Regions from separate parts of the Mus musculus genome. Here regions 2, 3 and 4 are each reported to be linked to region 1. Evidence: microRNA targets listed by miRTarBase, many of them from high-throughput screens and not tested one by one. Region 1 holds a microRNA gene; each other region holds the end of a gene's coding sequence.

The links. The annotated mature microRNA mmu-miR-694 reads CUGAAAAUGUUGCCUGAAG and lies in region 1 at 1,037-1,055, opposite strand. An mRNA with a match to its seed (bases 2 to 7 or 8) in the 3' UTR can be bound and repressed. Matches are read on the target gene's strand: a 7mer-m8 pairs with bases 2 to 8, a 7mer-A1 pairs with bases 2 to 7 and ends in A, and an 8mer does both.
Region 2: miRTarBase lists Sc5d as a target of mmu-miR-694. Seed matches in the 3' UTR shown: 7mer-A1 at 1,850-1,856.
Region 3: miRTarBase lists Dpy19l2 as a target of mmu-miR-694. Seed matches in the 3' UTR shown: 8mer at 1,867-1,874.
Region 4: miRTarBase lists Plet1 as a target of mmu-miR-694. Seed matches in the 3' UTR shown: 7mer-A1 at 1,758-1,764.

The regions. Positions count from the first base shown.
Region 1 is chr18:66,218,240-66,221,391 of GRCm38, forward strand. It overlaps Mir694 (microRNA 694), which reads right to left and starts at 1,094; the gene lies at 1,025-1,094. All of the region lies in intron 2 of Ccbe1 (collagen and calcium binding EGF domains 1), which reads right to left.
Region 2 is chr9:42,252,785-42,255,784 of GRCm38, forward strand. It overlaps Sc5d (sterol-C5-desaturase), which reads right to left. Exons shown (of 6, transcript NM_172769.2): 6 at 1,393-3,000. The coding sequence ends at 2,558. Among named protein-coding and RNA genes, the nearest start is that of Sc5d, 10 kb to the right of the region's middle.
Region 3 is chr9:24,555,345-24,558,344 of GRCm38, forward strand. Dpy19l2 (dpy-19-like 2 (C. elegans)) reads right to left here. Exons shown (of 22, transcript NM_001166207.1): 22 at 1,704-2,843. The coding sequence ends at 2,693. Among named protein-coding and RNA genes, the nearest start is that of Dpy19l1, 54 kb to the left of the region's middle.
Region 4 is chr9:50,504,040-50,507,039 of GRCm38, reverse strand. Plet1 (placenta expressed transcript 1) reads right to left here. Exons shown (of 4, transcript NM_029639.2): 4 at 1,401-2,763. The coding sequence ends at 2,495. It overlaps Plet1os (placenta expressed transcript 1, opposite strand), which reads left to right and starts at 2,235. Exons shown (of 3, transcript NR_040714.2): 1 at 2,235-2,419.

The DNA.
Region 1 (3,152 bases):
TCTGCACAGGCAAGCTATGCCACTAACTGATCATGTCCATGCTGAGCAAGTCTGCTGATCACCCCAGGCTTTGGCTTTCTCAGCTGTGAAGTGGGAAGGATTCTACTGATAATCACGTGTGTCTCACAGGGTGCTGTGAAGTCCCTGGTCCCCAACCTTGATAGTACAAATTGAGTTTCTCATGTTTTACTCCAGACCAATTTCATCTGACTCTTTAGGGCTGGGGCCCAAGTATCAGCTGTCAATTAAAAAAAAAAAAAAAAAAAAGCAAAAACAAAACAGAAACTTTCCGGGGCTGAAGAGATTGCTCAGTGGTTAAGAGCACTGGCTGCTCTTCCAGAGGGCAAGTATTCAATGCCCAGCTTCCACATGGCAGATCACAACTCTGATTCCAGGGGATCTGACATTCTCACACATACCACACAAAATACTAATATACATAAAATAAAAATAAATAAATCATTCTTTAAAAAAAAAATCCTCCCAAAGATTAGACTAAGCTGCTTAAGTAGGGGACTGTTGCACCACTCCAACATGACAAGGTTGACTAAAGCCAGTACAAATCATGACAGGATCACGGCTCACATGAACTGGGGGTGGGGTGGTGGGGTGGTGGGGTGGGGGAGGGGTAGAACTATTCCAAGTTGGCTTAGGTGCATGAAGCATATCGCCCCCATTCCAGCAGAATGTAGAGCATTGGTTAGCTCCTTTGATGACAAGTGGAAATTGGAAATGCTCACACAGTCTAGCCTGGGTTTCTTTGCTCAGCAGACCAGCTTTGAGCATGGTACCTTTCCGAGACCACAAGCCCAGCCCATGACTAAGCCATTATCTTCAAACTCCCTTCTTAACCCAAAGGCCATCTTCAGAGAACCAGGACAGGAAATGTGAGCCCCACAATTGCACTGAAATGGAGAGAGAATGCAATTTCCAACTGGGGAGCTACCGCTGGCCTTTGTCTGGCCAGGAGCAGGTCACAGGGCAGGGGGTGCAGTGGGGGTCGGGTATTTGTGATGAAAGCAGAAGGCAGAGACTGCTTCAGGCAACATTTTCAGCCTGGTCTTGGGTTGAAAGCGATGCCTGAGCTGGCCTTTGACTCCCAGTTGGCAGCTTTGCCGCCGGGAGCTCTTACCTTACAACAGCTGTAATTTTCAGGTTTCTCCATCTGAATGCACAGAAACACTTTTCACACCAATTACCCTAACTTGGAGATTCCTGGGGTCAGACTTGTGCTCATCACCTGCAGACTCCTCTGAACTGATGTGAGCTCAGGCGAGCAGAATACAAGGCTCACCATGCAGCTCACATACTATGTAGAATTATCAGACATGCTGGAAACTAACTGGTAAGTTATGCCTCTTCTTTGAAACAAAGATTCGAGAGTATGAATCGAGAATCTATTTTATCTTTTAAAACTAGTTTAAAAATCCAGAAGCGCTAAGGGGTGATCTAATTGTACCTAATTCAATACTAGAGTCAAATGTCTTATACTACGTGTGAATTTTATGTTGTTTTGCCTTCATGGTAAACGTCCTGGAGAGGTCAGGGAGACACAGGATATACCTGAACATAAGAAAAGCAGTTTGCAGCAAGCCCATAGACAACACCAACTTAAACAGAGAGAAACTCAAAGCAATTCTACTAAAATCAGAAAGAAAACAGCGTCGTTCACTCTCCCCATACATATTCAATATAGTACTTGTAAGTCTGAGCCACAGCAAGAAAACTACTGAAGATGAGATTAGGGGGATAAAAATTAGAATAGAAGAAGTTAATATTAATAGTATATAAGTAAATAAATATATATTCTAACCAAATATATAGTATATAATTATTTATAGATGATATAATAGTATATAAATGAATATATATTATAATTAAATATATAGTATATATTTATTTGTAGATGATATAATAGTATATAAATGAATATATATTCTAATTAAATATATAGTACATATTTATTTGTAGATGATAGAATATTACATTATCAGTGACACTAAAACTTCCACCAGGAAACTCCTATAGCTAATAAACACTCTTAGCAAAGTAGCAAGATACAAAATTAACTCACAAAGTTAGTTGTTTTCCTATACACAAATGACAAACAGATTGAGAAAGAAATCAGGAACAGCATCCTTCCCAATAGCCTCAAAAAATATAAAATATCTTGAGGGTAATTCTAACCAAGTAAGTGAAAGACTTGGATGATAAAAACTTTAAGACCCTGAAGTAGGAAACTGACTACGGTATCAGAAGATGGAAAGACCTCCCATTCTTGGTACCAGCAGGTACTTTGCATACTACTAAAGAAGTGTGAATGCCAACCCAACTACAGACCCTTTGACCCACAATGATGTCCTTCCTGCAAAATACAGTAGGGAAACGCTGGCACAAAGATTACAGGAGTATGTTAACAATATCTGACTTGACTCCAGGCTCATTCCAGGTGATAGAACCCATACATGACACTGCTCAAGTGCCCAAGAACCGGAGACTAGATAGCCCAGGGACCTAGGGGTAAACAAAATACTACTGTTCACTATAGGAACATAGCAACAAAATGTCCTAACAGCATTCTGCTATATTCATAGATCAGTGTCTTGCTCAGTTGTCAACAGAGATGTTTCTTCCTGCTGTAGATGGGAACAAAGAGAGACCCGCAGCCAGACAGTATGCAGGGAGTGAGAGAGATTAGAATGTTCCCTCCTAATTGGATTGTCCCCATCAAATCCCTCCCCTCGGGGTTCAGGGAACCCTGTGGATGAGGAGGCAGAAAGAATAGAAGACCAGGAGGGATGGAGGACACCAGTAAATCACGGTCTTTTAAGTGCATCAGGACCAACTCAGAGACTGAGACAGGGCGCACAGTCCTTCCATATCCACATCGGATGGGGTACTAAAGCTGAAAAGAGAAGTAGACCCATGACCATCCCTAACCCTGAAAATACCTCCGAATGATAACCACTCGTAAATGAGAATTTAGGTTTTCTCTCAGGGAGGCTCTTGGGAAACGAGCTTCTCTCATGGATAGCGGACGCTTAACAGTAAACGAACTCAAACGTACAGCTTTGGAGTTTCCAACTCTCATAATGCCAGATGGGAGGCTTTTTTCTTATTTATTTTTTTACCCTACAGAACTTTTATACATA
Region 2 (3,000 bases), not on the chromosome of region 1:
TTGTCTCTCAATTTTACTATAGACTGTTTATGGCACATTTTTAAAAAGAATGCTACAGCAACAAAAATACTAGCAATTTTATCCCATTCAAGATAATTCACAGTGATCAGTGTCTTGTTTTCGATTTTACTTACATATTTCTGTAACTCATCTTCATGTCTTTCACCCTCCAGCATGAAGGGAGGGCAGGCTCCTCCACCGAACTCCTACTGAGGGCCTAGCAGAAGACCGACCTCAACCATCACAGAACCCAGAAAACAGGAGCCACCGTCTTTGTGCTTGATCCTACTGGGCGGCAGCGACTCAGCCCCCGTGGGTGGGAGAGAGCAAGGGTGCGAAGGGCAACTGCTCTGACTCACATGTCCTAACTCTTGGGGACTCCTGAGGTGAAACTGAAGGCTAAACGCTCAGGTGCCTCTGAAATTTTATTTAGCTATTCTTTATTATACACACACACACATACACACCCCTCGCATTTCGATCATATCCACTCTACCTTTCTCATACCCAAACTTCCCCAGACCCCTCCTCATCCCTCTCCAATTTTCCTATCTTCTTTTACTTTATAAGCCAGAGTCCAATCAGAACAGGCCTTGGCCTGGGAGGTAACCCAGTGGTGCAAAAGCAACTTAGAGATTGCACCACTGCAAACGGACTCTCCCTTCTCAAGCAATCATCAACTGTCAAAAGCTCCCAGCTGGAGGTGGGACCCTCTCAACCCCCACACCCCATCCATGACCCCAACCACTCTGGAATGCTGACTGGCTGGTTCATATATCGACAGCCACAGCTATAGTGAGCTTACGAGCACAAAGGCCCCCTCATGTCTAGAGACTTGCAGCATCTTCCCTGGTCTCTGCTCTCAATCTCTCTGCCTCCTCTTCCTTCGGGGGTTAGGGATGATGGAGATGTCCCATTTGGTGGTGGTGGTGGGATGGGGTTTACCGTTCCTTGATGTAGTACCAAACAGTGTATCTTAAGGATCCTTTTGTATGCACAGCACACTGCTAAGAGCTAGGTGCCAGATTCATCCAACATCCTAATCAGTCCATGTCTTAGTGATGCTGATGTATTCAAACCCCAGGGTTCTAGTGGGTTGTACCCAAGAAATGGGAAGCCTAGATCCTAACACAGAGCTTCGTTCCTTCTGGTTTCCACTTCCTTAGAGCACTTGGTAAAGTCAACTAACAAATGAGAAAGAGACGGTTGCAATGAGTGATGTTTGCACACAGTGCAGTGTGACTCTGAGCATCTGGGATGCTGTCAGATTTTATAACCCACATCACCTCTACGCCTTCAAAGTGACCCCAATGCACAAAGGACGTTTTGTGCTATAACATTTAAGTGGATAATAGCAGTTATGATCAACTTTTATTGGTGTTTTTTTTTTTTGCACAAATAGCCATTAGAATAACTTTATAAAAACATATCTTCTCCCTCCACAAATATACTTAGCTTACAACAACCACCTTTATGTTTTGTTTTGTTCATTTGCAGAAGAGAGGGAAGAAATAGAAGATGAGGTTTAAAAGTGTACCTCAGGTAGATTTAAGTACTTGGCAATTATTCCCTTCATTAAAAAAAAGTCAGCTTTGTAACTGAGAAATACATCAAAAGTGTGTCCACTTGATTAAAAAAAGATGTCACTGGGTGCCACAAGTTTATACCTAGCATTATCCAGATTCATGTCTGTAGGGTTATTAAACAGTGGTTTTAAATGACACACTTCAAGCTGGGCAGTGGTGGTGCACACCTCTGATCCCAGCAAGGGCAGGCAGATCTCTGAGTTCGAGGCCAGCCCAGTCTACAGAGTTCCAGGACAGCCAGGGCTACACAGAGAAACCCTGTCTTGAAAAACCAAAAAAAGAAAAAAGAAAAAAAAATGACACTCACCAAGATCTTCAGTTAAATAATCTCCTATCTAGACTGAATTATGGAAGAGCTGACATTTAAAAAAAATACCATTTATTTATTCATTTATTAAAATCTGATAATGCCCCAGAGAGTAAGGTGCCTCTGTATAGGAAGTACAATCTTATTACATCAGCCATTAAGCAAATCCTATCCACTGCCACTCACGTATCAGCTTGCTTGGACTGATATTCCTATTTGAATGAAGTCCTGCAACTCCCCAGCACTTCGGTGGAGCCAGCCGCTCCCGGGACAGGACCATCTTCATCGTTAGGGTTTCCTGGTTAGTCTCAGTAGCGTTTAGCACAATGGTACTTTTTTTCCTTAATGAGTATGCATGGACTAAGGCAAAAGGACACAGACCAGCTTCTTGAGTAGCTTATTTTCTATCGTATTTAAAGATGCTTCAGAGCTGTACAGGCTGCAGGTCAGCCGGCTGAAAAGACAAGTTGTTCCTGGACCAATGTCGGACAATTAACCAAGCGATTACAATGCTCCCGGTGTCTTCCCGCTGTTTACTGTCAGGACCATCCCTCAGCATGACACTCAAGCAATGCTGACATTCCAATGGCACCACTTATTTGCTAGGTATCTTGACTGTGTAGATTATTTTCTTATTTAAAATAGTTAATAACTGGGCAATAATCTACTTATTCTTTGTAAACTCTCCATTGCCTACTTTTTTGCCTTTACAGCCGTTTTCTGCAAAGCTGTTAGATTCTTTTTCTGTCATGTTCTTCACGTAACTATGTGGTCCTTTCCCTTCAAAAGAGGAAGGATGTTTAAAAGAGCCTCCAATTCTATCCCACAATGTGAAATACTGTCCATAGTTATAGTCAAAGAACATGTGGTGGTCTGTGTGGTGAGCTGACCCGTTAATAAATGGCCTTAAGATCTGGGGAACCCGAAAATCACCATCATGAATAGAAATTGTCCAGACATTAACCAAGACATATAAACCTAAGTAGACCACCTTGTGCAGTGGAAAGACAAAGGGGTATATATGGTAAGGCAGACTCTGAAGGAAGCCGTCCACAGGGTGAAAAGCATGACTTGCAAACGGCGTGGGGATCTTCCAAATATGATGTG
Region 3 (3,000 bases), not on the chromosome of region 1:
GGTATGTGGATTTATTTCTGGGTCTTCAACTCTATTTCATTGATCAACCTGTCTGTTTCTGTACAAATATCTGCTATGCTCTCCGGTCGAGTCAACTGGACATGCCGAAAGGCTTAAAAGTCACTCATGAGGCAAAAGTGTTTCAAGGAAGCTCTCCTCCTGGAGTCTAGTGTTCTCTACCCATACATTAATTTTTCATTCCCGAGTTCCATTACTGTGCTAGTCTAGAGTATGGATCCACGTGCTCTCTTTCAGTACTTTCCTATTATAAGTGCTCTAACATGGCTAAAGCCTTCCGCCAGTGTTCCAACAGTCCAAGGACATCCTTGACCAAGATCAAGGGTTTAGAATTCAGCAAGATTGTAAAAGCTAACTCACTCCCTTACACAGGAATTTACCATCACTTAGGAAGAAGGAAGTTTCAGACCAAAGGAGAAACCAGAATAGATATTATAACAGAGTTACACCCATACACATGTATTTACAATGACCTAAGGGGAAGGTGGACTATACAAGAGACTAAAATAGGAACTATGGCAAGGACGCGAAGCCCTTGACCCTGGCTTCTAAGATTAGTGAATTTTAGGTGGAGCCCTTGTTGATCCCAGCTGTTATCAATGTAGTCTATCCTGGGTGGTTCCCGTTAGACCTTTTGTGTTTGCATTCCTCTGTTTTATGTAAGATTCCGGTTACCTCAATTGTACCTTGCGAATATGTCACCCAACTTCCTTATTGTCCTCTGCATAAAATGTCTGATGCTCGAGTTGTAAAATTACACTCAGATTCCACACAAACTCTCTTGTGTGTGTGTCTGTCTGTCATTCATCCACGCTTTGCCCACCCGCCGTCGAGAGACCCCGTTCCACGCAGACACAGGGACCCAGAAGGTCAGTGGCAAATATCATGCAGTTTTTATCACTTAAGACCCATATTCACTTGTTAGTGAGTATGTACCATGCATGTCCTCTTGATTCTGGCTCACCTTACTCAGGATGATTTTAGTTCTGTCCATTTGCCTGTAAAATTTATGATTTTTCTCATTTTTAGTTGCTCCTGGCCATATACCTAAAATGTTCCACCATACCACAAGGACATGTGTTCTACAATGGTCATAGCAGCTTTATTCATAATAGTTAGAAACTTGAAATAAGCCAGATGTCCCTCAACTGATGAATGGATACAGAAATTGTGGTTTATTTACACAATGGAATACTATTCAGCTATTAAAATGAGAATATCATAAATTTTGCAGGCAAATGGATGGAACTAGAATCATCCTGAGTGAGGTAAGCTAGACTCAAGAGAACATGCATGGAGCACACTCACTGACAAGTGAATATTGTCCATAAAGAATAGAATGACTATGATACACATCATAGACCCAAAGAAGTTAAATAAGAAGGTCTAAGAAAGGATGCTTGAATCACACCCAGAGGGGAAAACAAAATAGTCATAAGAGGCAGAGGGAGGGAGGGATTTGGGTGGGAGGGGGGAGGGGAAGAGGAAGAGGAAGAGGAAGAGGAATGGGAAGGCAAGATCAGATGTGGGGAGAGACAGGAGAGAAGCCTGGAGGGCTTGGAGAGTAATTGGAGCTGGTGGAGGGGAATCTGTAGGAAGTCCCAGAGACCTGGAAATAGGAGAGGACCTTTAAAATGATGTAATAGGTTTTGCACATGAAAATAATAAAATTCATAGGACAAAATTATGTACAAGGAACACTTTATTGGTTAACATAGCTCGTACCATTTTTGTTGAATTCTAATAATTACTTTAAAATATCCCTCTAGTGACATTGTCCAAAACATGTTACTTTTAAATGAGTGTTATATCTGTTCCCCTCTTTGCTCCACACAGAAAAGAAACTACTTGAAAATGTTAAAATCAACACAATTCAGCATTCTTTCTTAGCTATTTTGTGTTCAGCATCAAAATGTTTTCCAACTATAAAAGTTGGGATGTAATTGCATACCTATTGCAAGTAATTATATGTAACTAATCTATGAAATTGAATCATCTTTTATGGTTGACCAAAAACATAAGGAAAATACAAGTATAAAAAATCCAAGATGCTTAACTTGGAGCAGATGCATATCAAACATCTAGCATGTTTAAAGTTTATCATGAAAAGAAAGAGACAATTTTACTCTTTGATGGACATACTCTATCTTCAAGGTAATTACCAATTTTCAAAGCGTTTTTGATAGATAGCTTTTATTGGGAGATAAAATTTATAAAGCAATACCGTCTTCATCATAAACTAAAACTGAATGAGGCTACCACCATCATCGGATTTCTCAGAGCCTGTGCTCGTTTCCATGGCTGAGAAGGTCTGGGCTGATCCATGGGTACTAGGGAAACCTGAAACAACTCACCTAGCTGGACTGAAAAGGAATTACTTCGCTTTGGTTTCTAAAATTATATTGATATTTTCCATACACGTTCCCTTGGAACTCTAAAATGAACATCTGTTGGTGACTTAATCATTTATGAGGTAAGCTTGACAGACTGACATTCAATGCAAATAATGAAGTAATTTATCATTAGTAGTAACCAGAAAAATTTAAATAGTTTTTATCTTGCTTTAAAAGTGTCTTCTTAGTAAAGCTTGTGAATTTTATTGCTGTAAATAAGGCTGGAAGTGTTCATTTTTGATACACATCTTTCCACTACAGCAGGTTGGGACACCTTGATCTCAGTTAATCTTCAGTACTCTGTACATACTATTCTGAAACACTGTGGTAAAGTACGGCCGAGAATCCTTGAGCAGGATACTGCAGAGGGGAGGGTTAGCTGCGTTGGACGGGTCTTCCACATCCCATATTTCAAGCATGCTGCAACCAGGTCTGAAAAACAAAGCATATAGAGAAATAGTCATATTAAATAAAATCACATGTTCACATTACGAAAGAGCTCCAAAATTTCCAGAGGCTAATTAATTTAACTACTGAAACATTTAAAACCATAACTCCAGAAACCATGAAGTCCAACACCTAGAATAAG
Region 4 (3,000 bases), not on the chromosome of region 1:
TTATCAACAACAACAGCAAAGAAGAAGCAAGCAAGCAAGCAAGCAAACAAACAAACAAACACAAAAACCAGCTATCGGGCAAAAATGCTAAATTTGGCATTTAACAGAATCTTTAAGGTCACTGGTTAACTGCTAAGAAATCAGGAAAGAAAACTCTGTGGCCACACAAAGAATGCAGTCTGCAGTTATATTCAGTGGCAGCAGTCAACACCAGCAGTTGTACAACTGAGAGAATCAGGTTTCCAGAGTCAAGATACTGTAATAGTCGGAACACCCAGTTTACAACAGAAATTTACAAAGGGAAAAAACTGAAGCAGACATTGTTCCCAAGGAAGACCAGCCACTGGGCCTAAGAGGCAAAGACTTGATGTCAACATCTTAACTATGTTCAAAGTGGGGACTGAAACAGCGACAAAGACCAGAAGCCAGGAAAATGTTTCTGCACACAGAATAGAGGTGGGCAGAGAGAGATTATAGAAAGACGCCAAATAGAACTTTTGAAGCTGGAAGGTGTAACAGGTAATATATATAATATATATAATAATAATATATAATGTTGAGGTTCACCTGCAGACTTGAGGAGGCAGGACAATTGGAGAGCTTGAAGAGAGGTCAGTTGAAATGATCTAGTTTGAGGAGCAGGAAAAAAAGAAAAAAAGAAAAAAAATGGTCTCTGGGATGCAAACGCACTGACATATTTATAGTTGGAGTTTCAGAAGGAGACAGAGAAGGAAGCTGAAAGAGCAAAGAAATGTGGATTGAAAATGACCAAAGTTTATGAAAGGCAAGACTGTCTCCATTCAGAAAACAACAGACTACCAGAAAAATCAAAGACACACGCCGAGAGGCTGCGTGATCAGGGCTACAGTTGACTCTGTAGTTACTGCTTCTGCCGTGAACGATACTGTCATCATTCCACACTCCAGGAAGCAGGGGTGGCTCCCATTTCAGCCAGCTACGGGGGGACGGGGGGACGGGGGGACGGGACGGGACTCAAATCCTGGTGTACATGTGGAAACCAAGCATCTGCAGCAGGACTGTGTTCCTGCCCAGCCTCTCCCCATCTCCGCGGCCTCTCTCTCCTTTCCTGCCTCCTTCCCTCCTCCCAGGGTCTTGCTATGTATCCCTCGAACTTCCTCGAAGACCAGACTGTGCCCAAACTTCCCATTAGTCCTTTCTCCAGCCTCCAGAGAGCTGGGGCAAAGGGAGGACTGCTGTGCCCAGGTATTAGCTCTGTGCTTAGGGGTTTCAGAAGCTCTCTGACCCCTCAGACTTATCTTTAAAAGTGGACAGAATAACCAGGCGACTCTCAAGATAGCACATTTTGGTGAGGCTTGCCCGTGAGGCACACATTAAAGCAGCTAACAGACTCAGCACAGAGAAGAGACTAATGTTATGCGGGACCTTATGCACACTGTGAGCTGGTCAGACTTTTGTCAGCGTGACACAGGCCAGGGTAATCTGGGAGGAGAGAATGTAAGCAGAGGGACATTTTCTTGATTAATGATTGAGCTGGGTGGTGCTCACCCCTGGGTCCTGGACGGTATAGAAAAGGAATTATTAAAGGAAAACTTTTATTTCTTATTACAGGCTTATTGTTGGAAATAACTTTTTTTTTTTGGTTTCACGTTGTACTATAAATATTACAAGCATTTTCTTTTTTGGCCCATTTCCTGGTATAAATTATCATCAAGGAAGAAATGACCAGCTTTGACTGGACAAAACAAAACTGAGATAAATTAACCTTGCATCTGTCCTTGAAAACACACACACACACACACACACACACACACACACACACACACACACACTTTTATTCCTAGTTCTAAAAACAAAGTTAGGTAACACTTTGTATTTTATCACTCATTAAGGGTTATCTTTCAATTTAGCACATTTCGGTATTCTTGTTCAATATATTGTTTATTTGACTTAGAAAAAAAAAGTCATGTGTCCTGTCATTGGCTTCTGAGGCACAGTTTTCATATACTTCCTTCAAAACCTACCGACTGGTCTGGGCACAGTGGAAATCTGCTAGTAGCCACAGGATGATCACTCATTTCTCTTTTTCCTACAGTCACATAAGTCACATAAGTCCTTTGCAACCTGAGTAGGTTTGGCCAGAAATCTGAAATCAGTTTGAAAGTAAAGAAGGATCATTCCCTCCCCACCCCCACACCCAGGAGGCTCATGGGAATACCTTTGGCAAGAAACACAAGTTCAGATTGGCTGTCAACAGGTTAAACTGAGAGTCAGAACTTCAGGTTACACGCAGGATGGATGGACTAAGTATTTACAAGAAGCGGAATTTGTGCCCTGAAAGATCCAGGCAAGCATTTGTATCCCTCAAGTGCACTAGTGTTGCAGGTCTGTGGTCCAAGGTGGTGGAGCTGCGGACTGAGGACATAAAACCTTCATTCGGGTATGTTTAAGCACTGGCCTGAAATGAGCTCGGGAGGATGACCTGGAGGTTGGAGATCTGCTTCCCCAGTTTTCTTTAGAAGAGGAGTTTACTAATGAGAAAAACAAGCAGGATATGGAGGGCACCTGCCAGGGGGCTGCCGAGAGTGCGGATGGCCAGGCTTTTGGCTGTGGTCTTGGCTGTGGTCACGGCTGTGGTATTGGCTGTGGTATTGGCTGTGGTCACGGCTGTGGTGTTGGCTGTGTCCTTGGCTGTAGTCTTGGCTGTGTTCACAGTTGGAGTCGTGTTTATGGTCTGGCTGGTCTCAGAACTCTCAGGAATAGGGGTTGAGGCTGAGGGTTGTACTGGGGGAGAAACAAAAATCAAGGAAACAATTTATCAAGCCTCTGTTTGGAGGTGGGTGGGCCCTAGAGAAAGAGGCTAAAGACAGGCAAGATGGCTCAGCTGGTAAAGGCATTTGTCACTGAGTTCAACCTCATGTAAAAGTGGAAGAGAACTGACCTCAAAATGTTGACCTCTGACCTTCACACACGAGTCGCATATGTACACATATGTACACGTGTGAAAAAAAAATCTTTTTA